Linked DNA regions of Macaca mulatta. The protein of the gene in region 4 purifies or fractionates together with the protein of the main gene of each other region. This does not show direct contact. Links are inferred from orthologs where the notes say so. Each region holds a gene or a part of one and is shown on either strand. Other genes may lie near its edges.

Evidence for each region.
Region 1: the proteins of ABI1 (region 4) and NHSL3 purify together in Homo sapiens (affinity purification with mass spectrometry; 3 studies listed by BioGRID and IntAct, with this or other methods). This does not show direct contact. The link is inferred for Macaca mulatta from reciprocal best matches to the Homo sapiens genes ABI1 and NHSL3.
Region 2: the proteins of ABI1 (region 4) and EPS8 purify together in Homo sapiens (affinity purification with western blotting; 4 studies listed by BioGRID, with this or other methods). This does not show direct contact. The link is inferred for Macaca mulatta from reciprocal best matches to the Homo sapiens genes ABI1 and EPS8.
Region 3: the proteins of ABI1 (region 4) and EPS8L1 purify together in Homo sapiens (co-immunoprecipitation; 4 studies listed by BioGRID and IntAct, with this or other methods). This does not show direct contact. The link is inferred for Macaca mulatta from reciprocal best matches to the Homo sapiens genes ABI1 and EPS8L1.
Region 5: the proteins of ABI1 (region 4) and WASF1 purify together in Homo sapiens (affinity purification with mass spectrometry; 6 studies listed by BioGRID and IntAct, with this or other methods). This does not show direct contact. The link is inferred for Macaca mulatta from reciprocal best matches to the Homo sapiens genes ABI1 and WASF1.
Region 6: the proteins of ABI1 (region 4) and CYFIP2 purify together in Homo sapiens (co-immunoprecipitation; 4 studies listed by BioGRID and IntAct, with this or other methods). This does not show direct contact. The link is inferred for Macaca mulatta from reciprocal best matches to the Homo sapiens genes ABI1 and CYFIP2.

What each region holds. Positions count from the first base shown.
Region 1 is NC_133406.1:208,086,166-208,090,636, reverse strand, and holds part of NHSL3 (NHS-like protein 3), read left to right. Parts: intron 1-230; coding exon 231-354; intron 355-934; coding exon 935-1,048; intron 1,049-1,138; coding exon 1,139-3,700; intron 3,701-4,144; coding exon 4,145-4,167; 3' UTR 4,168-4,471. UniProt on the Homo sapiens protein: Able to directly activate the TNF-NFkappaB signaling pathway.
Region 2 is NC_133416.1:18,126,365-18,131,509, reverse strand, and holds part of EPS8 (epidermal growth factor receptor kinase substrate 8), read left to right. Parts: intron 1-536; coding exon 537-698; intron 699-825; coding exon 826-975; intron 976-3,870; coding exon 3,871-3,953; intron 3,954-4,502; coding exon 4,503-4,639; intron 4,640-5,145. UniProt on the Homo sapiens protein: Signaling adapter that controls various cellular protrusions by regulating actin cytoskeleton dynamics and architecture. Depending on its association with other signal transducers, can regulate different processes.
Region 3 is NC_133424.1:67,399,199-67,404,343, forward strand, and holds part of EPS8L1 (epidermal growth factor receptor kinase substrate 8-like protein 1), read left to right. Parts: intron 1-8; coding exon 9-135; intron 136-328; coding exon 329-417; intron 418-511; coding exon 512-586; intron 587-690; coding exon 691-839; intron 840-1,613; coding exon 1,614-1,755; intron 1,756-1,887; coding exon 1,888-1,916; intron 1,917-4,103; coding exon 4,104-4,236; intron 4,237-4,325; coding exon 4,326-4,457; intron 4,458-4,656; coding exon 4,657-4,768; exon of another isoform or gene 4,769-4,772; intron 4,773-4,958; coding exon 4,959-5,133; intron 5,134-5,145. UniProt on the Homo sapiens protein: Stimulates guanine exchange activity of SOS1. May play a role in membrane ruffling and remodeling of the actin cytoskeleton.
Region 4 is NC_133414.1:28,115,743-28,120,887, reverse strand, and holds part of ABI1 (abl interactor 1), read left to right. Parts: intron 1-2,225; coding exon 2,226-2,411; intron 2,412-5,145. UniProt on the Homo sapiens protein: May act in negative regulation of cell growth and transformation by interacting with nonreceptor tyrosine kinases ABL1 and/or ABL2. May play a role in regulation of EGF-induced Erk pathway activation. Involved in cytoskeletal reorganization and EGFR signaling.
Region 5 is NC_133409.1:15,225,627-15,231,272, reverse strand, and holds the start of WASF1 (actin-binding protein WASF1), read left to right. Parts: upstream 1-2,134; 5' UTR 2,135-2,338; exon of another isoform or gene 2,339-2,365; intron 2,366-5,646. Other genes in the region: CDC40 (pre-mRNA-processing factor 17), read right to left, coding at 1,172-1,360.
Region 6 is NC_133411.1:166,195,182-166,200,326, reverse strand, and holds part of CYFIP2 (cytoplasmic FMR1-interacting protein 2), read right to left. Parts: intron 4,623-5,145; coding exon 4,469-4,622; intron 3,069-4,468; coding exon 2,912-3,068; intron 2,376-2,911; coding exon 2,279-2,375; intron 385-2,278; coding exon 308-384; intron 1-307. UniProt on the Homo sapiens protein: Involved in T-cell adhesion and p53/TP53-dependent induction of apoptosis. Does not bind RNA. As component of the WAVE1 complex, required for BDNF-NTRK2 endocytic trafficking and signaling from early endosomes.

The DNA.
Region 1 (4,471 bases), on a different chromosome or scaffold from region 4:
CAAAAATTAGCCAGGTATGGTGGGAGGTACCTATAATCCCAGCTGCTTGAGAGGCTGAGGCAGGATAATCGCTTGAACTCAGGAGGCGGAGGTTGCGGTGAGCCAAGATTTCGCTACTGCACTCCAGCCTGGGCGACAGATTCGTCTCAAAAATAAAAAAAGTTCCACTGGGGAGCCTTGAGGAGGCAGCGCCAGCCAGATCAGGGCCTGATCTCCTTCTACCCTGATAGTCCTCACGGACGGCGCCGGATGAAGACAACATCTCCTCCTGCAGCCAGACCACCTCCTACGTGGCTGAGAGCTCCACAGCAGAGGACGCGCTCTCCATCCGCTCGGAGATGATCCAGCGCAAAGGTGGATTCACGGGCAGGGGAGAGGGACGGGGGGCGCCACTGGGTCCCAGCATCTGTAGCTTCTTTTCCTCCTTATCCAGTGTTTCGCCAGGCTCTCTGATTCAATGAATTCGGGAAACACGGTACCCTGTGTCCTCTTGCACATTCATGATACACACTAACTATAAAGCAGTTTAAGAGTTAGAAAATCTTAACTGTTGGAGGCCTGGTGTAACTACGTGCCAGCTGTGTGACCTTGGGAAAACCCTTAACCTCTCTGAACTTCTGTTTGATATTCTCTAAAAATGAGGATAAGTATCTTATTGGAATGAATGCCAAATGTTTAGCATGCTGACTAACACATGATAATATGTTTACTAAATAATAAGCTATCACTAAAGGGAAATTACCATCGTTGACTTAGTAGCCTTCCAGACGTCTTACAGAAAAGAAGCCTCTAGCTTTGTTTAACCTAGCCTTGCCCATACCTACTTGACTGCGGAAATCATTTCTCGCAGAGCTCTTACTACAAAAGTAGTGCCCTGCAGAATGTGCCCTGAGTCCTTTGCTGTAACAGTTTTTCTCCCCCGACCGGCCCCCAGGCTCCACCTTCCGACCCCATGACTCATTTCCCAAATCTGGAAAGTCAGGGCGGCGTCGGCGGGAGCGGCGGAGCACTGTGCTAGGACTCCCGCAGCATGTGCAGAAGGAGCTCGGTGAGGCCTGGTTTAGGAGGGCAGTGGTGGTGGGTGGGGAGCCTTGGTCATCCCTCTCTGCTGACCCCACCTCCTCCCTGTCCCTTCCAGGCCTGCGGAATGAGCGTGAGGCACCAGGCACGCCCCGGGCTCCTGGTGCACTGGATGCTGTACGCATCCCCACAGTGGACGGCCGCCCCCGAGGCACCTCAGGGATGGGGGCCCGGGTGTCCCTGCAGGCGCTGGAGGCAGAGGCGGAGGCTAGTGCTGAGACAGAGGCCATGCTGCAGCGCCACATTGACCGTGTCTACCGGGATGACACCTTTGTTGGCCGGTCCACGGGCGCCCGGCCCCCACCATTGACCCGGCCCATGTCCTTAGCAGTGCCTGGATTGACAGGAGGGGCAGGGCCTGCAGAGTCCCTGAGCCCGGCCATGTCCATCTCCCCCCAGGCCACCTACCTGTCGAAGTTGATTCCACATGCTGTGCTGCCGCCCACAGTGGACGTGGTGGCCCTGGGCCGCTGCAGCCTGCGCACACTAAGCCGCTGCAGCCTGCACTCGGCCAGCCCAGCCTCAGTCCGCTCGCTGGGGCGCTTCTCCTCGGTCTCCAGCCCACAGCCCCGCAGCCGCCACCCGTCCTCCTCCAGTGACACCTGGAGCCACTCTCAATCCTCCGACACCATTGTCTCTGACGGTTCCACCCTCTCCTCTAAGGGTGGCTCTGAGGGCCAGCCGGAGGGCTCTATGGCTAGCAATAGCATGGCACCCCCTCCCCAAGGAGGCAGTGGGAGGGGCTCCCCCAGTGGGGGCAGCACCGCTGAGGCCTCAGACACACTCAGCATTCGGAGCAGTGGGCAGTTGTCTGGCCGGAGTGTGTCCCTACGTAAGCTGAAGCGGCCTCCACCCCCTCCCCGCCGGACCCACTCCCTCCATCAGCGGGGCTTAGCAGTGCCTGATGGGCCCTTAGGGTTGCCCCCTAAGCCTGAGCGTAAGCAGCAGCCCCAGCCGCCTCGGCCACCCACCACTGGTGGCTCAGAAGGGGCGGGGGCAGCACCCTGTCCACCCAACCCAGCAAACAACTGGGTACCTGGCTTGTCTCCGGGTGGCTCCCGGCGCCCCCCACGCTCCCCAGAACGGACGCTTTCACCTTCCAGTGGATACTCGAGCCAAAGTGGTACTCCCACCCTCCCTCCCAAGGTCCTGGCAGGTCCCCCTGCTTCCCCAGGCAAGGCCCAGCCCCCTAAACCAGAGCGTGTCACGTCCCTTCGCTCCCCTGGGGCCTCCGTCTCCTCTTCCCTCACGTCTCTATGTTCCTCCTCCTCTGACCCAGCCCCCTCAGACCGCTCTGGGCCACAGATGTTGACCCCCCTGGGTGACAGGTTTGTCATACCTCCTCACCCCAAGGTGCCTGCCCCCTTCTCTCCACCTCCCTCCAAGCCCAAGAGCCCTAACCCAGCTGCCTCTGCTCCAGCCGCCCCTGCTATGGTTCCTGGGCCTGTTTCTACCACTGATGCCAGTCCCCAGTCCCCTCCCACTTCCCAGACAATCTTGACCCCACTGCAGGAGTCTCCTGTCATCTCCAAAGACCAGTCACCCCCACCATCCCCACCCCCATCTTACCATCCACCCCCACCACCCACTAAGAAGCCAGAGGTGGTTGTGGAGGCACCATCTGCCCCAGAGACTGCTGAGGAGCCCCTCCAAGATCCCAACTGGCCCCCACCCCCACCCCCTGCCCCTGAGGAGCAGGACCTGTCCATGGCTGACTTCCCCCCACCTGAGGAGGCCTTTTTCTCTGTGGCCAGCCCTGAGCCTGCAGGCCTTTCAGGCTCCCCAGAGCTTGTCAGCTCCCCGGCTGCTTCGTCCTCCTCAGCTACTGCTTCGCAGAGTCAGCCCCAGGGTAGCCCAGACCCTCCTCCAGCTCCGCCAGCCCCAGCTCCTGCTAGTTCTGCCCCAGGGCATGTGGCCAGGCTCCCTCAGAAGGAACCGGTGGGCTGCAGCAAGGGCGGTGGGCCTCCCAGGGAGGACGTAGGTGCGCCCCTGGTCACGCCTTCGCTCCTGCAGATGGTGCGGCTGCGCTCTGTGGGTGCTCCAGCAGGGGCTTCCACCCCAGCACTGGGGCCATTGGCCCCCCAGAAACCACTACGAAGGGCCCTGTCAGGGCGGGCCAGCCCAGTGCCTGCCCCCTCCGCAGGGCTCCATGCTGCCGTCCGACTCAAGGCCTGCAGCCTGGCCGCCAACGAAGGCCTCTCAAGTGCCCAGCCCAACGGACCGCCTGAGGCAGAACCACGGCCTCCCCAGTCCCCTGCCTCGACGGCCAGCTTCATCTTCTCCAAGGGCACTAGGAAGCTGCAGCTGGAGCGGCCCATGTCCCCTGAGACGCAGGCTGACCTCCAGCGGAATCTGGTGGCAGAACTCCGGAGCATCTCAGAGCAGCGGCCACCCCAGGCCCCAAAGAAGTCACCTAAGGCTCCCCCGCCTGTGGCCCGCAAGCCATCTGTGGGAGTCCCCCCACCCACCTCCCCCAGTTACCCTCGAGCTGAACCCCTTACTGCTCCTCCCACCAATGGGCTCCCTCACACCCAGGACAGGACTAAGGGGGAGCTGGCGGAGAATGGAGGTGTCGTGCAGCTGGTGGGTCCAGAGGAGAAGATGGGCCTCCCGGGCTCAGGTACAGTGGGCAGTGCTAGGGTGGGGTCCCATTGCTGATGATGGGAAGTGGGAATCTGAAGTCCCGTCATGGGGTATTTGCTCTTGGATCTTTAACTTTTATGGTCTGAGAATGCCTGGGAAGGGCCAGCTATCACCCTTGCTGGGCCCCAGAGGAGGAGAATGGTGTGTGAGTGTCAGGCCTACTGTGTCTGAATTCCAAGGTTCAATAGCCAAATTCCTGGCTAATTTTGTATCTTTCCCTGCCCTTCCTAGCTACATTGTAAAGTGTGGGGCAGTGACACCTACATTATAGTGTCTGAACATTTGTAGGGTGTCCAGCCCAGTGCTGCAGGCATAGTAAAACGGGTAACAAGGTTGGGTGAGGGTATGCCTTGTTGGGCTCTTAGTGCCAGAACTAAGCTAGGAGGCCCCTTGCTAAGTGTCCCTTCTTTTTCTCCCCTAGACTTACAGAAAGAGCTGGCCTGACCACCAGGCACCTCACTGGCACTGCTGACCCATCCCAGAAACACAATCTCAGGGACCTGAGCAGCTCCAAGGACGAGAGGATACAGCAGACACAACCTAATAGAGAGGGCGCCTGCAGCCTTAACCTCCACGGCCTTCGATATTTATGCAAGCCTGGTGTTGCTCCTGTCCTCCGAACCATCCCGCGCTCATGCCTTTTCCCGAATGGGGTCACCTCCGGCAGTTGCCGCTTCAGTCTTGGCCTTAGCCTCATCTTGAAGGAGGTAGCTGGCGGGAGAGGGTGGCTGCGCCCCCTGCTGGCCCT
Region 2 (5,145 bases), on a different chromosome or scaffold from region 4:
TCAAGCATGCTTAATCAAATTCAAACAGTTTTGTTTCAGTAAGTGGTTTTAGTGGATTGAATAGTTTGACAGCTCCTGTAGGCTAGAATTGTGCTGTTGCTACAATCAGTGTCCATAGTTTTAAAGCTCCCATACAGATAGCCTGCTGTTTAAATGCTGCTAGGTTCAGCATTTAAATAACCATAATAGAGTATAAAATAGGGAAAAGTATACTTAAAGAGAATATTATTTAAGCTGTTAAGAAGTTGTTTTAATATCATGTTTATGTAGTTCAACATGGCTCAGTATGAAAGAGATTTAGGTATCTTATGAGTCAAAACACCATTTCTTCTATTCAAAAAAACCCCAAAAATCCCTGCTTGGCTTTATTCTCTCGTTAAAATAGTCATGAAGTTTTAAGAGCACTTTATGTTTGTCGTTCTCTGCTAGCTGACCTCAGGTTAATTTGATTTTCTTTTGGAAAATGTATTGGAAATGTAAGAGGTTGTATGTATTTGTATCTGTTATAAATCCTTTTCCTTTTTGCCAATCGTAAGCACTTGACTACATTTATCCTGGATCGGAAAGATGCTATGATCACTGTTGATGATGGAATAAGGAAGTTGAAATTGCTTGATGCCAAGGGCAAAGTGTGGACTCAAGATATGATTCTTCAAGTGGATGACAGAGCTGTGAGCCTGATTGATTTAGAATCAAAGGCAAGTGTGTAAAATTTATACTATTTTATTTTCAAGAAAATGCCACTAATATTAATGTTTACAGTCATTTCAGATTGTTTGAAAATGGGTGGAAGTTTGAAAAATAAAATGTTTACTTTATTTATAGAATGAACTGGAGAATTTTCCTTTAAACACAATCCAGCACTGCCAAGCTGTGATGCATTCATGCAGCTATGATTCAGTGCTTGCCCTGGTGTGCAAAGAGCCAACCCAGAACAAGCCAGATCTTCATCTTTTCCAGTGTGATGAGGTTAAGGTAAGAGAATGGTGAAATTTTTGTTTCCTCTTTAAGCAGACGTTCTGGCAGCTTTTGAATTACCTATTTTGATAATATATCTCATATTAGGTACTAGATTTTTAGTTTCTGAGGATCTTGTAAGGAAAACAAATACCTTAGTATCTTCCTTAGGATTTCCATGGCAAGTAAATAAAGAAATTAGGGTGATGTTAATAAAATCAGGGGCAGGCAGAGTAGCTCATACTTGTAATCCCAGTGCTTTGGGAGGCCGAGGCTGTAAGATGGCTTGAGGCCAGGAGTTCAAGCCCAGCCTGGACAACATGGCAAGACCAGTCTCTACTGAAAAGGTTTAAAAAATTAGCCAGGTGTGGTTGTACATACTTGTAGTCTCAGCTACTCAGGTGGCTGAGAGAGGAAAATCTGTTGAGCCAGGAGTTGGAGATTACAGGGAGCTATAATCGACCCTCTGCACTCCAGCCTGGGCAACAGAGTGAGACTGTGTCTCTTAAAAATAAGAGGCATTCTGTTTTTTTTTTTTTTAAAGGATAGATAATATATTAAATTCACATCAAATGCCTTAAACTTATAATTAAAAATTGATTGTTCAGAAATCATGCTTTGTGGACAGTAAATAATCATGTAATTCTAATTTATTCTGCACTAATGACATAGCGTGGATTACTGCAATGAAGTACTTAGACATTTCCCACGATATTGATTTAAAGTTCACCATTTAATTATGTGATTCGAATCGTTGCTCAGGATTTGTAATTCCCAAATGATACGTGAAAATGGATGAGCCAGTAATAACACGATGTGTCCTGAAAGTTTCTATTTCAAAGTATAGTGTAATTTCAAATGATTATAATTTGTGATGCTTTATTGGACCTTAGAAGTTATCTTCAACCTTGAATGTGTTTATTTCCTGAGTTGTTTTCTTTAAAAGAGAAATCATTTTGTGTTAATTGGTACTTTGCTAAAGCAGTGATTTAACATTTTGATGATATATTATAAAATATCCATGTAATTTTATCTTATAAAGAACTTTTAGGAGATTAGCACAGTCACTTGATCTTTTCTGTATTTTTTGACATTTAAAGATGATAGATAAAGTAAAATTGACTGTAAACTGTGTTTCATAATTTTCTTCTAATTTCAATTTACATCACAGATGACTTTCTAAAAACCTTCTTCTAAAAGAACTGGCATTTAAGTAATTTGTGTAAGTGATATTCATCAGATTTTTGTATAGTGCCTTTTGAAAGTCATAGTATATTATAATTTTTGTAAGGTTAGATATATTCAATAAATATTAAAGGGAACATTTTGCTTTAAAAATATAGTGAAATTTAATTCAAACATATATAAACCAGAGGCCTAAGTTAAAAAACATTTCAGATTTGATGTTTGTATCTGTGCTCTAAAAAGCCCCCCGGGAGCTAAAAGTTACTATGCCATAGTGTAAAGCTTCTGAATTTTAAGTTTGGGAACAAAGGGTTTGCTTTATTTGATATGGAATGGTAATGATAATGGATTCAAAATGTATTTACTGAATATAGTTCTGTCCTAACTCCAAAAGCTCACATACCACAGAGCACCATATGCATTTACTCATTGGTTTTATACTCTGCATATGAGACCTTTTTCCCTTGGCTGGTTAAAAGTATAAACGCAATGAAAAATGCAGTTTATTTTATATGGCTCATTGTGCAATATTGTTTTTGATTTTTAAAGTTTCTTTATTATAGGACTTCATGCAATGCTCCTGCCCACCTTTGCAGCAAAATTTTTCTTAGAAATATAATAGCCCCAGTATAAGAAGTTGATGATTCCTAGGCATCTTCAGTTTTTGTTTGGGGTTTTTTAAAAAAAAAAATAATTATTTTTAATTAACTGTCTTTTCATCTTCAGTTTTAGTATCCTATGTAACAGAAAGCCTTTGACAGGATGTTTGTAATGTCTTATTGAAACTTAATGCTCTTAGGAAGTCACACTGGACTGGGATGCATTGGCACTCTCATTTAACGAGCAATGTGACCTTGGCCAGGCCCTTTCATACAAGTACTCCTCAGTTTTATTAATTAGAAGGAACTGATGAGATGCTCTTTTAAATATCCCATCATTTCCAAAATTTTATGATTATCGATGCTTACTGTAAAAGAAATACAACGTACATATTTGAGAAAACATTACATACAACAAGGAGGCACAAACATAGATGGTGCATCTCATCAACATTCTAATATAGAGTGATAATGACTGGCTCTAAACAAACTTTGCAACCAAACAAAAACTTCTTATCTGTGAATCTCACATTGATCCCCAAGAAATATCTAACTGAATGTTCTTATTGGAAAAGTATTGGAAAAGTTAATTGTTTGTAGAAAGTTAGCTTTTACCTGAAGTGACAAAATAAAGTGGTTACCCAAAAGGGTACAACCTAGTATTGGAGTTTATCTCATGGGTGTAGTGGATTTGCCTTAAACCCAAAGATATGTTTTGCTGGGTTAATAGGTATCCAGTGGATCTTGAGGATGAGAAAGGGAAGGAACTCTGTCTGTTCTATGTGTGGGAATCTCTAACCCCTTAATTTCTTCCCAATTAGAGATTTTTACTCAGTTTCATTTTTAGCATATGCATATCCATTCTTTGCCTCCTTCATTGCCTTTATTCAATGATAGTTTCCCTTTAAGATAATCTTTAAACATTTCTTCAGTTTTTAAAATCTTATCATTATATAGTTCACCATTATAAAAACCACAAGAGTCATGTTTCACAACATTTTTATAAAAAGATTTTTACATCAAGATGCTTACTGATTCAGACAAGGAACAATTCCTTTTCCTGTTTTAAACTACATATCAAGACTCGGAAAAATCTATCAACTTACAGGTAACTTGTATCTCCTTGCAGGCAAACCTAATTAGTGAAGATATTGAAAGTGCAATCAGTGACAGTAAAGGAGGGAAACAGAAGAGGCGGCCTGATGCCCTGAGGTAAAAACATTAAAAGAAATCAAGGGGTGGAATTGATTTGTTTCTAAGGCTTTTTTCCCCCAAAGAGTTAGAAGAATTATTTTCCATGGAAGTATATTATTATGTTGTATAGATCATAACCTGTAGTCTCAACACATTTGTTCTCCCAAGTTTGTCAGTGCGTTTGCTCCTTTGCTCTCCATATTTTTGATCTTTCTCTGATATGGCTTCACTTGGGTTGGAAGTCACAGGGTCATGAAAGATGAGTGGCATTTGAAGAGAAGGTATCTTAGGGAAATACAAGCTAGACAGTAGGATTGTAATTGTTCCATGGCCCTTCCAAATCACATGAGACTCAGAAAGAAAATCAACCTAGTTTTCAGCTGACTATTAATTTTTTTTATTTCATATGCATTCATAAATATGCATAATATGGAATGCTTAGGAAATCCTTATTGCCCCTTGACATAGTTGTTTCTGAATTTTAATAACTAGTACCACAAGTTGAGTTAATTGATATGTTATAGAAATAGAGATGGTAAAAATTCTATTTGTTTTCATCTTTTTAAGGATGATTTCCAACGCAGACCCTGGTATACCGCCCCCACCCAGAGCTCCTGCCCCTGCGCCCCCTGGGACCGTCACCCAGGTGGATGTTAGAAGTCGAGTGGCAGCCTGGTCTGCGTGGGCAGCCGACCAAGGGGACTGTGAGTCTTCCTAGAATTAATACTTATTGAACACTTACTTTGGGTTGGGGCATAGGTCTTGCTTTCAAATTCTGATGCTGATTTCAGAACTGAAGCTTGAGGTTACTTTTTAAAAAATCAAATCTGGCTGGGCACAGTGTCTCATGCCTGTAATCCCAGCACTTTGGGAGGCTGAGGCGGGCGGATCACCTGAGGTCAGGAGTTCGAGACCAGCCTGACCAATATGATGAAACCCTGTCTGTACTAAAACTACAAAAATGTGGTGAGCGTGGTGGCAGGCACCTGTAACCCCAGCTACTGGGATGGCTGAGACAGGAGAATCGCTTGAACCCGGGAGGCGGAGGTTGCAGTGAGCTGAGATCACGCCATTTCACTCCAGCCTGGACAACAAGAACAAAACTCCATTTCAAAAAAAAAAAAAAATCAAATCTTAGGTGAAAGAAAGTTAAGCCTTGAATTTTGTTAAGATTATTATCTGTAAGAGTTCAGACCCACCATTTAATAAA
Region 3 (5,145 bases), on a different chromosome or scaffold from region 4:
TCCCCCAGGACATCCTGAACCACGTGTTCGACGACGTAGAGAGCTTCGTATCGAGGCTGCAGAAGTCGGCGGAGGCGGCCAGGGTGCTGGAGCACCGGGAACGCGGCCGCAGGACCCGGCGCCGAGCGGCTGGGGGTAAGGGCACCCCCGCGTGGGATCTGAACCCCCCTCCCGATCACTTCCAGATGCCCCCCCTCTCCCCAGGGTCTCCCCTCCCGCCACTTACCAGGGCTGACCTCACAGCCATCTTAACCGGGTGTCCACCTCTCTCTCTGCCTGCCTGGTGCTGGCCCCGCGTCCCCATCGCCGCGCCCGTCGGCCCCCGCAGAGGGCCTGCTGACGCTGCGGGCCAAGCCGCCCTCGGAGGCCGAGTACACCGACGTGCTGCAGAAGATCAAGTACGCCTTCAGCCTGCTGGTGAGGACGCGTCCGCCCCTGGGCCGGGGCGCGGGCACGGCGAAGCTGCCCCGTCCCCGCACCCACGCCAACCATCTCCCTCCCCACGCCCCAGGCCCGGCTGCGCGGCAACATCGCCGACCCCTCCTCCCCGGAGCTGCTGCACTTCCTTTTCGGGCCTCTGCAGATGGTGAGACCCGCCCCAGGTCCTCGGGCCCCCCTGCGGCGGGAGGAATCGGTTCGACTTGCAGACGGTGTGACGGCACGGCCTGCCCCCTCCCGCTCCCCTGACAGATTGTGAACACGTCGGGGGGGCCCGAGTTCGCGAGCAGCGTGCGGCAGCCGCACCTGACGTCGGATGCCGTGGCGCTGCTGCGGGACAACGTCACTCCACGTGAAAACGAGCTCTGGACCTCGCTGGGGGACTCGTGGACCCGCCCCGGGTGAGGGGCGGGACTGGGAGGCGGGGGGCGTGGTGATTGGAGGAGCTTAAGGGCTGGGAGATGAGTGGCATGATTGGAAAATGAGACTAGGAGGAAAGGGACAGGTTGGAGGCGTGGCTTCGTTGTGTTGGGGCGGGGCTTAGGACAGATGCCAAGATTCAATTGGCGGAAAGGCCAGAAATTAATATGAAGGAAAGATTTAAGACCAGCAGACCAATCAGATTGAAAGAAAAGGTGGGGCTTAAAGGAATAGAGGGGCTACGGGGCAGGAGCGGGGCTACGCGAAGGGGCGGGGCTTCTGGAAAGTTTGGTCTATAACTTTGGCGATGGGACAGAGTCTGTGCACTGGGGGCTGGGAGTTTCGTAGGGAAAGGGTCAGAACCTGAAACCGAGCTTAAGGAAAACCTGATTTGGAATCAGAGGTGAAATTTAGAGGCTAGATAAGGCAATTTTTTTTCCAGAGAGAGAGAGAGATGGATGGGCGTGGGGGGCGGGTCTCAATATGTTGCCCAGGCTGGTCTTGAACTCCTGGCCTCAAGCGATCCTTCCATCTTGGCCTCCCAAAATGCTGGGATTACAGGCGTGAGCCACTGCACCCGGCCTAGAAATATAAATTACTGTTGGGTTGGGCTTGGAGGTACCGGCAGGACTTGGTGAAAAGTGGCGGGGCTAGATACAGAGAGCTTTAGGGGAAAACTTAGTGAAGTTAATGACAGAGCTCAGCTGGGGGCTGTACCAGGATCCCTGAGCTCTTGGCCCTGTCCCTGGCTGCAGGCTGGAGCTGCCCCCGGAAGAGGGACCCCCATACAGACCCGAGTTCTTCAGCGGCTGGGAGCCGCCGGTTACTGACCCGCAGGGCCGCGCTTGGGAAGACCCAGTTGAGAAACAGCTACAGCACGAGCGGAGGCGCCGGCAGGTGAGGCTGAGGCTTTCAGGGGAGCAGCCAACTCCCCCAAGCGACACGGCAGGGCCGAGGCTGGGAAGTCCGGGGTGGGGGCGTGGCCGGTCCGCCTGGCCCCGCCTGACCCGACTCTCTTACTTCCTGCAGCAAAGCGCCCCCCAGGTCGCTGTCAATGGGTGAGTGTCCGCCCCAGGGCAGGGCAAGGGGGTCCAGGAGGGGTGCTTCCCGGGGGCTCCCGGTGTTGACTCCGCCCCCTTTTTTTCTGTGTTTTTCCTTCTGTCTTCCTGGCTCTTTTCAGGTGGGTGAGATGGTGAAGGGGCGGGCCGGGGCCGGGAGAGAGGGAGGAGCAGGGAGGGAGGGGGCGGGATCCAGACTTCTGGGGCCAAGGGAGGAGGGAATGGAGACCGGGGTTTCCGGGCCTACGGGAGGAAAGGGGCTGGGAGTGGGTAAAGTCTGAGAGGTTGGATCTCTGGATCCCCAAAAGGCTGGAAGAAGGCAGTTTGGTTTCTCAGGGCCTGGGAAGCACCATGTCTGGGCTCCCTACGAGGACAGAGCCCTGGATATTGGAGGGGAGAGGCTGGGGAATTCGACCTTTGGGTTTTGAAGAAGAGCCCAAGTCTGGTGCTTGGGATCCTGGAGACCCAGAGGAGCAGGCTTGGGACTTCAAGGGCTTGGGGGCAAGTTTCTGGGAAAGTTAGGAAGTGGTAGTATCTCTGGGCCCCGGAGAGGGGTAAAGGCTGGGTGATTAACCTCTTGGTTTTCCAGACGCTCTAATGCAATTGTCTAAGTCACTGCTGGGTGTCGGACTGGGTTAAAAGGTTTAAGGGTTAAAAGGATAAGATTGAAGCTTGAGACCTGGACTCCTAGGTCCCTGGGGGAAAAAAGGACATTCCACGTCAGGTTCTACCAAGCAGTGGGGGTTCAGACTCTGGGTCCTGGGGGAGGAAATGAAGTAGATGGACCAGAACTCTAGGGTCCTTGAGCAAATAGAGGGCAGATTGGAGGGAAACAACATGGGAGGAGACGAAAACAAAGCAGTGAGGCTGGAGGAGACAAAGGGGGGTCTAGGTGAGGGCCTGGGCAGAGGGTCTCAGCAGGGACAGCGTGCTGGGAGCTGCCAGCCCCACACAGGGGGTGCCGCGGCCCTGAAGACCCCCCCTCCCCCCTGCACAGGTAGGCCTGATCCAGGCTGAGGTCCCTCTTATCGGGAGTCAGAGCTGAAATCCCACCCCTGCCCCCAGCTGCCTGATATCGCAACCCCCCTCCCTGTTCACAGCTTCAAGTCACTTTCTCTGAGCCTCAAGTTCTTTGCAGGGAAACTGGGAATGATGGTAATCCCTTCCTGGAACAGTGAGAAGTCTGTGGTGTTGTAGGAACTAGCAGTTCAAGGCTCAAGGCTGTGACCATGTTCAAGTTCAAGTCCAGCTGCCTGCAAAGGAGGGCAGCATTATTCAGACATGGACTGCCCTGGTCCCAGGCTGGCGATGCCACCTGTGACCTTTACATCCCTGTGCCTCAGCTTCCTCCTCTGTGAAAATGGAGAAGATAATAGGGTCTCTGGGGGAGGAAGAAACTGGGGGCGGGGAGAGGGGAGTCCAAATTCATGGTTCTACCAACGGTTGTCATGAAGCTCAAATCAACTAATATACATAACAGTGCCTAGCACATAGTAAGTGCTACAGAAGTGGTAGCTATTGTTTGTTTTTTGAGACAGGGTCTCACTCTGTCATCAGGCTGGAGTGCAGTGGTGAGATCTCAGCTCACTGCAGCCTCTGCCTGCCAGATTCAAGCGATTCTCCTGCCTCAGCCTCCAGAGTAGCTGGGACTACAGGCACGCGCCACCACACCCAGCTAATTTGTGTATTTTTCAGTACAGACAGGGTTTCACCATGTTGGCCAGGATGGTCTTGATCTCTTGACCTTGTGATCTGCCCTCCTCAGTCTCCCAGAGCGCTGGGATTACAGGCGTGAGCCACCGTGCCCGGCATAGCTATTGTTTTTATTATGCTCATGAGTTATGATATTTAAGCCCAGTGCCTATTAGATGCTCAATAAATGACAGCTGTTTCTAGCTGTGTGATGTAGGCAAGTGGTTTTATCTCTCTGAGCCTCATTCTCCTCTGTAAAATGGAATCGATGATGGGATAGTACCCACTGCATATGCCTACAGCACAATGCCAAACAACGGAGGGGGCAAAACATATTCAGGCTGTTATTCTCGTTTCAAATTTCTATTAACAGTACTAACCTGGCCCCTGCTGTGCCCCCTGCTTGGCTCTAACCCTAGCTCACACCAGCACCCTGCATCCCAGAGCAATGGGGCTGGCTGCCTCCTTATCTCCAACCCTCCTGCTTCTCCTCAGTCACCAAGACTTGGAGCCAGAATCTGAGCCTCAGCTGGAGTCAGAGACAGCAGGAAAATGGGTCCTGTGTAATTATGACTTCCAGGCCCGCAACAGCAGTGAGCTGTCGGTCAAGCAGCGGGACGTACTGGAGGTTAGAGGAGCGGGAGGCTGAGGGGCAGGAATTAGGCAGCCCTAGCTGCAGATGCAGGCTCTGAACCTTCTGCCTTTTACCGCACGCAGGTCCTGGATGACAGGCGCAAGTGGTGGAAGGTTCGGGACCCAGCGGGGCAGGAGGGATATGTGCCCTATAACATCCTGACACCCCACCCCGGACCCCGGTTGCACCACTGCCAAAGCTCTGCCCGCAGCCTGGTGAGCCGGCGCAGACGCTGGGGTCTTGAGGGAGGAGAGGCTGGGACCAGATACTGGGAACAAGGGGCGTGGGGATCAGCTGTCAAGAGTGCTGGTGCAGGTGGTGACTGAGGGTTCATAAATGCATCTCCAGAAAGGGGAGAGGCTGGGACTCTGATTCCTCTCCCTAACCCAGGTGCTCTCCTCTGCTCCCTTTCAGAACAGCACTCCTCCTCCGCCACCAGCCCCAGCCCCAGCCCCACCTCCAGCTCTGGCTCGGCCCCGCTGGGACAGCTGCGATAGCCTCAACAGCTTGGACTCCAGCGAGAAGGGTGAGTGGTGGGGACGCCGGCTGTGGGGAGAGGTTCTTATCCTTGCTTTCCAGGCAGGGAAACGGGGGCTCAGAAAGAGCAAATGGACTCCTGCCCCATTCTGGGGAGGCTGGAGCACCCCCCCGCCCTCTGGCCCCAGGACCCCTCGCCCTGAGCCCCCACTCCCTCCCTCCGGGTTTCCCACCTGCAGAGAAATTCTCCCAGATGCTCATTGTCAACGAGGAACTGCAGGCGCGCCTGGCCCAGGGCCGCTCGGGCCCGAGCCGCGCAGTCCCAGGGCCCCGCGCTCCGGAACCGCAGCTCAGCCCGCAATCGGACGCCTCCGAGGTCCGAGCCTGGCTGCAGGCCAAGGGCTTTAGCTCCGGGTGAGTGGGGCG
Region 4 (5,145 bases):
TATTAGGAAATAATTTAAAATAGTCATAATGCACATCAGTTTTGTGAGTCCAATGGTGACTGACTAGCTATTTGGTAAATCTTTTCTTTATATAGAAATCCAGTATTAGTGTGCATTATTCTAGGCATGTGTGGTCTTTGCTAAAGAGGCTCTTGGTATTAGTTCTTTTTACCAAACATACGAACTTGGGTCAGTGATTCTCCTTGTGCCACAGATTCCCTAACTTTATTTGGTTTCTGTTTTCTTTGAAAGTATGTTAGGAAGATTGGTGTTAAAATATGTATCAGCACTTTAAATGTTTTATGAAGTACAAATTTTATGTGTTCTTCTCTTAAATACCCAGTTTATTATGACACTCAAAGTGGGTGATAATGAATGCATGTAGCAGTTAGCCTATTAATAAGTGTTTCAATTTAAGATACCAGCCTCTAAAAAAGTCAGCAGTGTGTTTGCATCTCTTTATGATTATGCAGAGAATTAGATTAACCAAGACTTCTGCCATAATTTGAAGATAAGACATGTAGATTTACAACAGTTGGACATAAAGACAATTTCGTGAAAACATTGAACTAGTGTGATAAATCGAGAGTAAATTCAAAGTACCCACATATATAATTTACACATTAAGCCAAACTAAGGATATGAACTATGGCTGTTTGATGTTGGGAGGGGTCCATACCCATTTTCCTGTCCTCAATAATATTAAAAAGTTTTATAGAGGAAGTTATGGACAACGATAAAATGGATCTAGGAATGAGGCAGAAAATTTAATTGTAGACCCGTTTGATAGGTGTTAGAGTGAGCATTACCATACAAGATTTGTTTTCTAATAGCCCTTTCATCCCTCAAGAGGATAAAATAGAAATCACAGCATTGAAGTGGTTATAAAAATAGGGTCATTATCTGCAAATATTTTAAACCTGGAGCCCTTGGTTGTATATTCAGCACATTATTCCCAGGAGGGTAAACGTTTAAACCTGTATGACAAATAGATTACGGCTGATTTCTTTGATCACGTAAATAGCCCCAGAAATTGGCATTTGATTTAGTGTGTTTGTATTATGAACTTCTCCCCTGCAGGAATTATATAATTCCCGTATCAATCTGTATGAAAACATTTTCATATGTCTTTTGAACTTTTAAAGAATTTTATGGATCAGAAATTTAAGTTAAGCACTAGTTGGGTTCCAGCTTTGAATTCTTTAAGTAATAGGAGCATTTTTACCTGATATTATGCTAGCTAGTTCATTGAACAGAGCTCTAGCCTGACATTTTCCCATTTCCCTGTTTACACCTTTGACTATGTAAAGCACACACATATATACTGACCACGACCATCTAGAGTTTGAGGTATGAGTCATTTTTATTGTTTTGTTTACTATAAGTTTCTTTTTGTTTGTTTTTTTAATTACATCTTCAACACTTTATGTTTAAATCTTAATTGTTGATGTATTCTTAGAAAATTGAATCTTTAGGATCTAGGCTTGCCCTCATCCCGTGCTTATGTTTTACTAGCAATAACGCAAAATTTTAGCTTGCTTTCTACAAAAAAACTGATTATGAATATAAACATTTTAAAAAATATTCAATTAGATTTTCTACTGGTTGGGGATTCTTTTTCCATTTTTTCAACTTGTAAAATGTAAATAACAGAGTAGAAAATCTATACACAGAAGCAGACCTAATACCACCAACTTTAACTTTCTCTCCATCAAAACAAACAATAATCAGCAAAGAAACAAAAATCTGTCCATGGGAGACTCAATTTTTAGGGAACCAAAGCTGTTTCAAGCCAAAATCGGGCATGAATGAGCAGAGTGAAAAGTGATCAAACCATTAATGTAATGTTACTCATATCGTTTACTGCAGTCCAAATGACAAAAGTGACATAGATTTAGTTTAGGTTGTTAACATTTGTCCCGATCTGAACCTTGGAATAAGGAAACTACTCCTATAATCCTTATAAAAAGAGACATTGTCTCCTAACACCCTGCATTCATTAATTTGTAATACTTCCAGATACACTTATTTTTAGCTCATTTTGTTATTTTTAAATGATTCTTGAGTAGCATAAACTTTAACACACCAAGCTTTTATTTCTAATCATTGCATGTTTTATTATAGTGCATGCTGTACTTAAGTTAGAGCTTTCTTAAATTCTGTTAACTTATAACTTTCCATCTAGACTTATTTGTGATTCAAATCAATCATATGAATCTTTTTAGTTGCTGATAGTCCAACTCCACCGCCACCACCTCCACCAGATGACATTCCCATGTTTGATGACTCTCCACCTCCCCCACCACCACCTCCAGTGGATTATGAAGATGAGGAGGCTGCAGTAGTTCAGTATAATGATCCATATGCAGATGGGGATCCTGCTTGGGCCCCCAAGAATTATATTGAGAAAGGTAAGGTACAATAATTGAATTGATGTGAAGGAATATAACCTAATTGTAGAAATTTAGGACTATAAAGAACATCTAGTCCAATGTTTCTCAGCTTTTTAAACTGCCTTACCAGCCAAGATGATTTACTTAAACCTTACTTCCTAAGCTTTGTATTATTCCCAGTGTACAGGGTGATTCTTTCTTTGTATTTTAAATTAAAATTGCAGTGTTAGATTTGCTTTCAAACTACATATGTGTTCAGCTGAAGATTAACTTGCTGGATGGCATTTTGTAGATGAAACAGCTAAGGCACAAAAATGGAGTTATATGTAATTAGTAAAGATTTTAAAAGTTCTGTCAAGCTCTGTTGATGACCTTTCATATCTAAATATAGATGGTCCCTGAATTACAATGGTTCAGTTTAGGATCTTTTCAACTTTATGATGGTACAAAAATGATATGCATTCAGTATGCTTCTCAACTTATGATGTAGCTTTGTCTGGATAAACCTGTTATAAGTAAAAAATGTAAGTTATAGGTTGAAAACGTACTTTCAATTTACAATATTTTCCACTAAACAGTGGGTTTATTGGGACATAACCCCATCATATGGAAGTGGAGGAGCATCTGTCTTTAAAAATTTATTAGTACTATCATGAGAAAAGCCTCAATTAAGGTGTCAGGTGATTTTATAAAAGAGAAGACAAATTACCAGGATTATATTTCATGAAACTATGAACTACTATAAAGTCGTAATTTACCTACAGTACCCAATATTCACTGTAATTATCTATTAAGAAATATAGGTGGGGAAGAAACAAATCCTGTTTCTAGTTTTTATTTTTTCATCTAGTTCTGTGCTATTTTAAAATCTGTATTTCTTTTTGCAGAAATGGGAATCAATTAAAAATAAAATCAAATCTGTATTTCTATAGAGTTCTGAAAAATGCTTGTAATTTAGTTGAACACTTTTGGTTGCCTTTGATAGATTTCCTTCTATTGACTTTATTGGGTTAACAGTCTTTAAGCAAGTAGCTGTAGCTCTTGAGACCAGCAGCATTCTTTCCTGCCCAAGTTTTGGATATGTGGCAAAAGTAAATTTGTTTTCCTTTTATATTTTTTTATTTTTTGAGGTGGAGTCTTGTTCTGTCTCCCAGTGTGGAGTGCAGTGGTGCGATCTTGGCTCACTGCAACTTCTGCCTCCCGGGTTCAAGCAATTCTCCTGCCTCAGCCTCTTAAATAGCTGGGATTACAGGTGCCCGCCACCACGCCCAGCTAACTTTTATATTTTTAGTAGAGACGGGGTTTTGCCATGTTGGCCAGCCTGGTCTTGAACTCCTGACCTCAAGTGATCCACCCATCTCAGCCTCCCAGTTGTGGGATTACTGGTGTGAGCCACCACTCCTGGCCTTATATTTTTAAACGGTAAATAATTTACATATTGTTAAGAAAGTCTTAAATATTCTACTTTAGATTCCCATATACCTTCAAATAGAGAGCTGTTGTTACTTATGAGGATGATAAACTTGAGTGGCCTTGAATTGTGTTTTTACCCATATTTTCTTTCTTGGTAAAGCAAATTTAATTATGAAAATGGGACCATATTTATAGAAGTTGACAAATTTGGAATGACATATCGGGTAATATACTTGATAGTAGAGGATTAAAAAGTATCTTCCCAAGAACTAGGGGTGAGCATACTTTGTTTGGTATAAAGCCAGATGGTAAATATTTTAAACTTTGCTGGCTATACAGTCTCTGTCACAACTACTCAGTCCTACTGTTGTAGCGTAAAAGAGGACATAGTACATGAGTAAGTAGATGTGGCCATATTGCAATAAAACTTTATTTACAAAAAATGCAGTGGTTTGGATTTGTCCATGGGCCATGATACACTTTAGATTGCTTTCCACAGCAGTTTGCAAAGGAAGTGAATATAGGCTGAGCATCCCTATCTGAAAGTCCCAAATTCAAAATGCTTCAAAATCCACAATGAGTTCCAACATGATGCCGCAAGTGGAAAATTCCACACCTGACCTCATGTGATGGGTCACAGTCAGAACGCAGGCACATGACACAGTTTATTCAGTGTTCCCAAGGGAAAAATAAAATTACCTTCAGGCTATGTGTGTAAGGTGTATGTGAAACAAAAATGAGTTTTGTGTTTAGACTTGGATCCCATCTCCAAGATAGTATCTCATTACCTATATGTAAAATTCCAAAGTCTGGAAAAAAAACCCAAATCCAAAGCAGTTCTGATCCCAGGCATTTCAGATGAGGGTTACTCAACCTGTATCTTGAACTGAAAAGAATTACAGACACCACAGAATTGCCACGTTCTCTAAATATTAATTAAAATCCTTTGAAGTAAGTAAATATTCTTTTTAAAAAATCTGGGAACAGTACCTTAAATTAGCATGGGTCCTTGAATGAGTAGGATGTGATTTACCTTCCAGTGACTGTGTATTTTCAAATTAGATAGCTTGGGTTGTTACCTGGTTTACTGAATGGCTATGCAGCTTTGCCTGATAATTATTTCGAAAAGCGGTGCTTTGTATATGATAGGCACTTGGTATTTGAATGAATTGAAACATCTAATAAATTCTGAAGTTCAGAGAGCTTTCTTAAAGTGATTGACAGAACCTATTGACCTGTTCAGTCTAATCAGATTGTCATTTGACTCTTAATTAAGCCAATGATATAAGTACATGGTTAAGTACATGGTTAGATTAAGCCAATGATATAAGTACATGGT
Region 5 (5,646 bases), on a different chromosome or scaffold from region 4:
GCAAGGCCTGGGACATCACTCACAGACAGTTTCCCAAGAGGGTAGGGCCAGACTGCATCGGGTTGAGGAGAAAATGAGATGAAGACAAAAAGAGAGCTCCAAAAAGCTGAGCTGTGAAAGGAGAAGACTCAGGAGGTTACTGGAGGGGCGTAAGTTTGGAAAGTTTTGTTTTGATAGGAAGTTAGGATTCTAAGCATTCTTTCATGCCAGATGCCCATTTTTAAAAAGTAAAATTCACAGACAGCTTGTTAAAAATCTGTAAAACACTCCTTAAGTCATTAAACTAGACTTGGGGACATGATACAAAGGAATTTTTGGACACCGCCTCCCATCTTCACATCTTGAGCTGATCACCTACCTCGGGCTCTACTGGGCCTACACTATCAATTGGTAGATGCTCTCATCAGGCTCTAGACACATCAGCTTTTCCTCAGTTCTTCAAACACACTAAGCTCTTTGCCTTCTCAGGCTTGCCTGTCACCTTTGCCTGGAAACTCTTGCCTGAATCAGCTTCCTCCATTGAGATCATGCAGCTGTTTCTCAAATCCAAGGCCTTTTTCTCACTGTATTAACATACATAATCATAAAACATTTACTGCACTCTCACTAGTTACCAGGCTCTGTGCTATATGCTTTATTTGTGTAATTTCACTCAATTTTCACACTCATCTTCTCATGTAGACAGGTGTTTTGAAAATGATCTCCGCTTGTACAGGTGAGGAAAGAGAGGAGGCTGCATAACTTGCCCAAGTTCACATAAGTGGTGGTGCCAGGATTAGAACCTAGTTTTTCAAAAATAAAACAAATCGAGGCCACTGCTCACTTCAAGTGAAGGTACAATACTCTAGTTTGGGAAGTCCTGATCTAATTTTATTTATGTTCCGAGATTACATCTGCACTTTACAGGCTATGTCCCTAATTCACAAATTCAAATTTCACCCCCTCTTTCCACTTGCTTTCTGATGGCGGGAGGTAAGGGCAGAGAGCATCGGGGGGCTATTCCGAACTTCCAATTCTGCTTCTCCCGAGGATGCATGTGGGAAGGAGAAGAAATTCAAACGTTAGCAACTTATCTCTGAGCAATGAGGTAAGCCGGGACCTAACAAGCGGCTGGCAGTTTTGGAGCTGAAGCCAACAATTCCCACACCGCATCAGTAGCAAAGGTGCTTACCTTAACTGCCACCTCCGGAGCCGAGTCCACTGCCACTGCTAGAGACGGCTTGGCTGAAGGCGATTTAGTCAAGTGCATGAGGGAGTCGGCGGCTGGCAGCGGACATCGACTGCTCTCACTGTCCGAGTCCGATTCGGACCCTGAACCCGAACCGTAGGAAGCGGCCAGAGCTGCAATCGCAGCCGACATGACGGCAACAAATCTTCTGCGGGGACCCTGTCAGGGCGGAAGAAGAGGAGGCTCCCAGGTCCTGACAGATTGCCATGGAACACATCATTAACTTTCTTTGCTAAGAAATAATTTCTTACATTTTAAAACAACAAGCTAATTATTATTAGAATAACTACTGTCGAAATGAGAGCTTAAAAAAGTTTATCTAGGGAAAAAGAGAGAATTATAATAGCTTATAACTTTCAGGACCTAGTTGACTAAAGAATACGAGTTCCAAAATACCTTGAGGCCTCGCGGTCCTGCACTCCCAGCGTGCAGCGCGGCAGGAAGCACCAGAGGGCACAATGGGAAGTGTAGTTTGGAACGAGGGGGCGGGACGGGGGCGGGTCCCTCCTTGACCCCGCCCCCGAATGGATGTTCCATTCAATTGGCTGTCATCTTCCCTCATTCCCTAGCCAAGCACTGTTCTCTCCGTCCCCCTCCCCCAAACTGAGGATTGGGCAATACCACAGAACCTCAGGAAAGGGGGGAAGAGCGAGCTTCGGCCCCACCGATGGAGGAGTGGGCCGAGGCTGGGTTTCCCACCTCGACTGCACCTGGGCACTCGAGGGTGAAGAGGAAAGTGAGAATCTGAAGTTTTGAGACCTCTGACTGGCCGGGAATAGCTCCTGGGGCACGGGGCAAGGATGGGACCATAGCCGGAGAGAGTCCCGCGGTCCCCCCTGCTTCTGGCGCGGGTCCCTGCGTCCGGTTGTGGAGCGTCTCGCGCGGGGAGGGGGCGGGGGGAGCGGCAGCTCGCGGTGTTGTTCACTCGCGCGTCGAGCACACGGTGGGTCCGGCGGCCGGTGGGCGCCCCAGGCGGCGTTCCCAGTGGCCTGGCGCCTCGGCCGCTGTCCTGAGCGGGTTCCGCCCCAGAGCCCGACCCTCCTGGGAGCCCTAGGTGGAGTCCCGCGAGCCGAGGGGGACCGGCGACCGCTGCCGAAGCATGAAGAAGGGGTAAGCGAGAGCCCCCAAGATTTCACGGTGAGCGCGAGTCCCTGAGGAATTGCTTTTTTCGGGGAGGGGGTGCTGGGAGAGGAACTCTTCCTCACCGGCCGGAGCAGACCGAGGGGTGTGTGGCCCGCATAGGTGACGGGGATGGATGGGCGCGCCTCCCCCGCCCCGGCCCCCACCCCCATCCGCGGGTTTCCCGAGCGCCCACCGCCCACCCGCCAGCCGGGCTGGGTGCAGAGGGAGACGGCGGCGGGCGCGCCCGGGGTTCGGCTGCAGGGACCGCCCCGGGGCTGCTTTCGCCGGAGAGACTGCGGGTCTCACCTGAGGTGCCACCGCCCGGGCTTCCCTGCCCACCCGCGCCCACGGTCCGCCCCGTGCCTCTTTCCGGGGGAGGCGGTAGCCCCGGGCGACAGAGAAACCTCTGCTCGCTCTACGTGCCTGGAGCTTAGTAAAGCCGGCTCGTGCGTTTGCGTGTTTGCTCCGCGAGTCGGTGTCTAAAGACATAACGGTAAAAAAGCGAGTGCAGGCATCCTTTTCTTGGTTGGAAGGGTAGGCGAAGCAGTGCCGTCGCTTCTGGTGCCCGTTCGTGGGGGCTGCCTCGGGCAGAGTTAGGGAGCCGCTCACTCAGCGCTCATGTCGGCAGGACTCGCCCATTGTGCCACCCAGATAATTATTCAACTATGCAGCATCCATTGCACCTTTCCCATTTTTCTTTTCCCCTTGCTACAGCATGCCCCCTAGCTTCGGTACTCTGACACCTTCTCTTGCACTTGCGGATGATGAACTGGAATAACGATGAAAGAAAGCACATCCTATCTCAACATACACGACCTGCCCTATAACCGATTAATTAATTGATCCCCAGCTAGACTAGGTGCTTAAATATGACTTACTCTAATCATTTTCTTTTCTGTATAATGTGTGCGGTGGATTCGACCTAAATTTTTTCTTTGGTGTTAGATTCACGGTTAGCTAAGGTCTTTTTTCTTTTCACTAATTGATGTAATTGACTTATGGGTTATTCAATCCGTCTAATGTTCTTAAATTTAAACTTGCGTGGTAGGTAACATTCATTTTTCTGATCATAGCACTATATCATGATTAAAAATGCAGTCTAAATTTGAACTCTCTGAAACAGTTTATCCTTTATGCTCTAAGTTTCTGTTAGGAAACATATTTTTGTTTATATTGAATATTCGAATGAAGTATTTGATGTAAAATTTCGGAAGTTTTGAATAAGAAAAGTTTTGTATTTGTTTTTCAGTAACAGAATATGTCATTACTAATCGTTGCCTTCCATTGAATGGAAGAATTTAATATTTAAGGTGAGGATTTTAACCACCGTATCAGTCATTCCCTAATTTATCTGATTTTATTTTTTATTCACTTTTGTCTTTGCAATATCTTGTATTTAATTATTTGTTTTAGAATCCAATTTTTTTTTCTAACTTTGATCTACAAGTATGAGTAGGCTTCAGTTTTGCATGATCTACCTGAAGGATGAATTTTTATTTGAAAATACAAGAAACAGCTGTTGGTTACTTGATTTTTATGTTAAAAACTGTTTACATCTCATTATTTAAAAATAAATGATTCACTATCAAAAATAAGTGTTGTATTTTTATAGTTTTCCTTTTCCATCTTGTTTACGCTTGTTGCATTAACCCGTCTGATAAAAGAGAATCACATATAAGCATTGCAGAGGCAGTTTTAAGGTACGGTAATTGTTTTATGGCACTTGGAAGTGGCGCACATATAATATAAGTTGATGGTGTAGGATTAGTTGCTTGGTTAGGAAATGACCTTGCAATTTACAAAATGGACACCTTTGTGCCTTGATTTCCTTATATGTAAATGGAGATAATATTTAGTAGATAGTGTGCATAAATTCAGGAAAGGTGTGTTTTTGTAGTCCTTTTAAAGAAAATTTAAATAGCTGATGAATGATAAAAAAATTTCTGTGAAAAATACAATGAAAAAATGTCAGAATTTTCCTTGTCATGTTAGAATGGCTGATTAACATTGATTCTTGCTTTGGAGAGAGACGCCTCTGAATTGAAAAATGTTTCTCATCTATCAGTGGTTTTAAATAATTGCAGACATAAAGGTTATTACAGTTAATACCTACATGTAGTTAAACATATAGATAAAATAGTTAATAGTAAATAAAAATTATGACTTGATAATAAGAATATTGAATTAAGTTAGTGAAGAATAATATAGTCAAAAAATATTAAGGCCTTTTTTGTTAAAAATTTGCAGGTGTTACAATCCAAAATGCTTAGTCGTGATCATTTATAAGGTATGCTATAGAGTTACTTTATTACTCATGTTTGTAAATATCCATATATTGTACAAGACTATAATTATACATTTTGCTTTATTTTAGGAATAACTTAAAATATCTTTCCAAGTACTTGATTTTCATTATCATAGTACATAGTACCTTGTGATTTCCTTATTGGACTACTATCAAAAGATTATATTATTAGCACTTTTACCAAAACAGTGCTTTTGGTTACTTTGTGAGAAAACTTCATATAGATAAGACTATTAAAGTGTGTTTAAAGTTAACTATTGTATGGTTTCTTTTTTGAGAGTGATTGTTTTATAATGTTTTCTTGAATTAAAATTTAGCTGTCACTGTCACTTGGGTAAATGCAGTAAAGTCATGGTTTTTTTAGTTATTTGAGGAGAGGAACTGACCTGCAGCTTATTGTCATAAATCCAAAGTTGTCAGTGTAGTGTTTAACAAATAGTAGGGGTTCAATTTTCTTTTTTGAACAAATAAAATGAATGTGTAAAGAATATCCATTGAATTAATATACTCAGTGAAACATTTTTAAAGATTTATCAAACATTTTAATTAATGAAATGTATAACTTTATCTCAGGAGAAAAGAGAAAAATGAATTTGGAGGTTCTTTGAACTCCATTTACCTGTTCAGATCTAATTCCATTACCTGTACACTTTTGAATTGGCACTAGATACTTAGCAGTCTTTGATTTATGAAATATTAACAATTTTCTTCTTATAGCTCACTTTATGAAGATGTATGTCAGCATATTTTTTGTTTTCCCTACACTAGATAGAAGTGTGTTTGATTCTTTGTGACTTAACTTTTCTAGTGAAATAGTAATACAAAGATATATGTAAATTAAATCCTGTGCTAAATGCCTGGGTACCTAGTTGTTAAAAATAAATGACCCCTGAGGTGGAACTTTTTATAAAATTAAGAATCTTGTGTTTTTAGTTTATCACATTCAGCTTATAATTTTGTGAATTGGTAGTTCTAACTTACTACATGATTG
Region 6 (5,145 bases), on a different chromosome or scaffold from region 4:
CAAAGGTTTAACCGTCGTACGTTCCCACGAGCTTTTCCCTCACAGAGAGCATGTAACCTCCTTGTCACTGTGCACTCATCGGCTTTTAGTCAATGTCTGTCTTTCCTGCTAGACTGCAGTCTGTGTGAGGTGAGCCCTCTATTTATTTAGTTTCCTTTCCACTCTATTTCAGCACCCAGTCTGGGCCTGTGGAATGGCTCTGTTTTCCTCAGGGGCTAAAGAAGAAGGGAGGTTTCACAATGGAAAATCACATCTTCCAGGTGGCAGTCTTAAGAGATTGCTACTCACAGCTCTGGGGCTTTCCTACCTGCCGGCCATGGCTTTGTAGTAAGCAAAGATCTGGTCTGCCAGCTTGTAGACAAACTGATCAAAACACAGGTTCACCTGGTGGAGAGGAAGCAGGAACATCACTGGTGCCCGTTCAGCTTAATCACAGAAACCGAGCCAACTGAAAGAGGGCAGTCGGCCAGGACTGCCCAAAGTGCATTCTGGGGAAAGACGCTTTGAAGGGGAAAAAGAAGATTCTGTGGCTAAGTTTGGGAGGTTTGGTCCCTTGCTCTCAGGGTCCTCAGTCAGTCAACAGACAAGGCAAAGTTCAAAAAGGAACCAACCTCCCCACGGACCCCCTCCTTAGCTGTTTTGAGGCTGCCTGCCTGGAGGGATGCAACGAACAGACCGTCAGAACCCGTCAGTGCTTGAATCTGTCTGCTAACTCGGCAGCCTCTCCATCTCTCTCTTCTGATAGATGTTATTTTTCATTGTATTTTACTTTGCTTTGCAATTTTTTTTTTTTTTTTTTTTTTGAGACGGAGTCTCGCTCTGTCGCCCAGGCTGGAGTGCAGTGGCACAATCTTGGCTCACTGCAAGCTCCGACTCCCGGGTTCACACCATTCTCTTGCCTCAGCCTCCCGAGTAGCTGGGACTACAGGTGCCCGCCACCACGCCCGGCTAATTTTTTGTATTTTTTTTTTTTTTTAAGACAGAGACTCGCTCAACAAGTCGCCTAGGCTGGAGTGCAGTGGTGTGATCTCGGCTCACTGCAACCTTCACTTCCTGGGTTCAAGCGATTCTCCTGCTTCAGCCTCCCAAGTAGCTGGGATTACAGGCACCCACCACCATGCCCAGCTAATTTTTGTATTTTTAGTAGAGACAGAGTTTCACCATATTGGCCAGGCTGGTCTCAAACTTCTGACATCAGGTGATCCACCCACCTTGGCCTCCCAAAGTGCTGGGATTACAGGCATGAGCCACCACACCTGGCCGCAAATTTGTTTATGAAGTTGATGGTCACATTTCAAAGCGCCTTCCTTCCAACTTTGCTTACGTAGCTTTGGTTTTTAATGAAGAAAGCATTGACATTTCAGGGTCTCATCATCAGTGACAGACTGTGATGCTCAGGTGGGAAGATAATTCACACCAGACACAGAGAATCAAACCAAATATTCCAAAAATAGCAAGAGCAGGACATGACCATGAGATGGGGCAAAGGCAGTAGCTAGGTAAGAGTCAAAGGAAACAGATCCTATTTACTGTCAGATTTAGTATTTTAAGTCTTTCATGTTTAACATTTACGTGATTAACCTTTGATCCTTTCTCACCAGACCCTTGGCTCCATAAGGTTAATGATTCAAAAAGCTTTCAGATCTTTCATCTCACACCCTACGTGGTATGCAGAACACAAAATCCCAGCGCTGTGTTTAGTGCTTTCCTCAGACCTAGGTCACTGAGGCCGCTGCCCTGCACTTTGAGCTTCAAGGGTCATCAGTAGACCTCCGTCCAGGCAAAGAATCCATAGGGTCAAGGTGGGCATGTGCACTCAGGCCCCATTCTCCCCTTCTAGAACCAGCTCTGAGAAGCCTTCTACAGGCAGCTCAAGCCTCTTCCAGGGCCACGTGCTCTCTTCTCTGGCCTCCCCTCTGAGGATGGACTGCACTACGGGTGTGTGTGACCATAGGTTTTAGGTCTGGCTGAGGGTCACTGTTTTTGAGCAGAGTTGACAGGCAGAGCTTGGGTATTTACACACATGCACATGAAGCCCTTCATGGTGCAGCACAGAGTTTGTGGGTGGGAAGAGAAAGGCAGCAGGTCCTGAACTGGGTGTCTCAGTTTGTACTTCTGCCCTCAAAGGTTACACAGGCCTTCTGATGGCCATGATTACAGAGATTCCTCTCCTAGAACAAGTCACTGATACTCCTACTTCATGCTAATAGCAAAAAACTGGAAAAGTCCGGAATTTGGAACAAGATTAAAGGAGCAAAAGGAGAAGCACGTCACTTGCCTCAGCTTCGATCTCATCGTACAGGAACTGCTTTTTAAACTTGGTCAGAGCATAGTAGGCGCTGTCATTGTATAGATCCAAAGGGTAGAGGACATACCTGAAGAGGGAAAAACACAGCCAGCCGCTTACTAATGACCTCCCTTAAGGAAGACAGTTTTATACTTGCTTGGGAAATAGAAACAAGTTCAGAGTCAGGAAAAGACCATCTTTCAGCCCTCTCTGATGGTCCCAGAGCCTCCACCGCTTAGGAGCAACTTACTTTACAGTCAGCCCAAAGAAATAAGAAGTCCAAGATGCAAATAAAACCAGGACTTGTAAACATGTATCTGGGACTAAAAGACATCAGGTGGCAGTTAAGAATATGAGCTTCCTGCTCCTGAGATTACTCTTTTCTGAGCATAGCTGTTATGAGGCTGACAAAGCATAGGAAGGACAGCTGGCCTGGGAAACTTCAGAATTTATCTGCAAGGCTGAATTAAATGATTCTGTCTGGCTGAGCTTTCCCCGTGGTGGGGCACATGGCCTCATTTCTTGTCAACTCAGTGCTTCCTTCTGGAAAGAACGGAGCTCCCTGGTAAACTGCCCTCCACTTGCACCCCAAGAGCCACCTGCTGGCCCAATGCTGCCTCTTACTCCATCATGGAAGGTTCTTTGGTTTCCAGGATATGGTCCGTTAGAATCCAGGGCATGGACATCTCGATGGGGAACTGGATTCGTCGGCCCATGGTTAACTCCAGGAAGAATTCTCGGAACCAGAGCTGGGAGAGGTCACAACACTGCTGCAGGGCTTCTGAAAAGCATAAGGGAATGAGCCTTGGGTTACTCTTAGCACTAAAAGACCTTAGTTCTCATTGTTTTTATTAATTTTCATTGTTATTGTTACTGTGTTAGGTATGTAGCAGGTACTAATATTGATTAGTAGGATCCTGCTCTCTTTTACTTAAAGGCAAGCCTAATATGTACTTGGAAAATAGCATTTGTTAAGCTTGAGTGGCAGTGGTTGTGGGCTGGCGGGGGAGAAGAGAAGGCAGTGATGTTTTAGAGCTTTAGATGCCCCTATAGTTCCCATCACCCTCCTACAAAGTCATCCTGAAAACCTGCAACCTAAGCTTGAAAAGTACGCTCATGGCTGGGCGCAGCGGCTCATGCCTATAATACCAGCACTTTGGGAGGCTGAGGCAGGCAGATCACTTGAGGTCAGGAGTTTGAGCCCAGCCTGGCCAACACGGCAAAATCCCGTCTCTACTGAAAATACAAAAAAAAAAAAAAAAAAAAAATTAGCCAGGCATAGTGGTGCATGCCTGTAATCCCAGCTACTCAGGAGGCTGAAGCAGAATTGTTTGAACCTGGGTGGCAGAGGTTGCAATGAGCTGAGATCACACCACCGCACTCCAGCCTGAACCTGGGAAGCAGAGGTTGCGGTGAGCTGAGATAGTGCCACTGCACTCTAACCTGGGCAACAGAGCGACTCCGTCTCAAAAAACAAAACAAAACAAAACAAAAGTATGTTCATTACACAATACAGTGTCAGTGTCAAGATAGGCCCCCAAGTGCCCACTTTCAGTTGGATTGTGGCTCCTTGACTTCTTGTGTGTGTTAATTCGTAGATCCCATACAGTTTAGAGGCCTTGAAGGCCCTTCCCAGGCTACTCTCTAATGGAGAAGAATGTACTGTTTGTTACAGCCATCACTCTTTTCAATCCCAGCAGACATACGAAGACTCACGTCCCTGAGATACTACTCTTCCTCTGCCCTAGACATACATCTTACTAAAAGGAGAGGAAGTGTGAAGAACACAGGACTGGGATGCAGCTCGAGAGCCTCCCCTGCTGGCAGCAGCAAGTACTACTTAGCGCTCGGCTGCGGCTGAGTAGCAAGTCTAGCATCCATGTGTCTGTATGTGCATATTCTTGGTTTTGATCCCTCTCTACTAAGGACTTTATGACAGATTAGCCACAGGTATCTCCCGGACACATTTAGCTAGGTCAGAATAGCTGAGTTGAACCTGGCCTTTCCCAGCTCCAAAAGCCCACTGGAAAGTGTGTGTGTTTTCCTTGGCGGTGATATCAACGATCACGTCCTTAGGGTCAACGATCACGTCCCTTTGCCATGCCTGGCTTGGTGGTCTTAGTGGCTCTGAGCCCTTCGTCCCCTCCCTCCATGCCTCAGCAGGGGTGGGATGCAGCTCACCACTGATGTTGAGCAGGTGTGTGAAGAAGAAGGACTGTTTGTGAAAGTCCTCTATGGCGAGGACAATGGGTCCGTCGAGGCTGCTCCTCAGGGTCTTCTTGGAGCCGCTTTTGTCTGCAATGAGCGATTCAAGCATGGTCCGCACCATGTATAGCTTGAAAAAGAAGGCAAGATGAGAAGGTCAGAAGCTGGCCCTCCACCCCAGGGGAAAAGGTTGCTTCGTGTTGTATTTATGTATTTATTCTTGTCTGCAGATGTCTGCTCTTAAAAAGCATTGTCCTAAGGAAGCACCAGTTTAGGGTTTGAGAAGTAAATGTGGAACTGTGAAAAGCTTCATGGCCAACCCGGGCCCCGTGGCATCCCTGGGCCGGTGGGCCTGGCCACAGCAGGTGGCTCCCTGCTCTGCTTGGCCAAGGGTGTGTATATCAGAGGAGAACCTCATTACATGTCACCCTGGAGTCACTCACTCCCTGTTTTCCCAGAGGGCCACAGATGCCATGGGCGGAGCACTGGACTGGGAGTCAAAAGACCGGGGTTCAAGGCCAGGCACTGCTGCTGATTTGCTGTGTGACCTTAGGCAACAAAGCCCCCACTCTGGGCCTCAGTTGTCTCATGTAACATGAGGGGGTTGGACCAGATGCCTTCTCACACCAGTCCCTTTCAGAACTAACATTCTG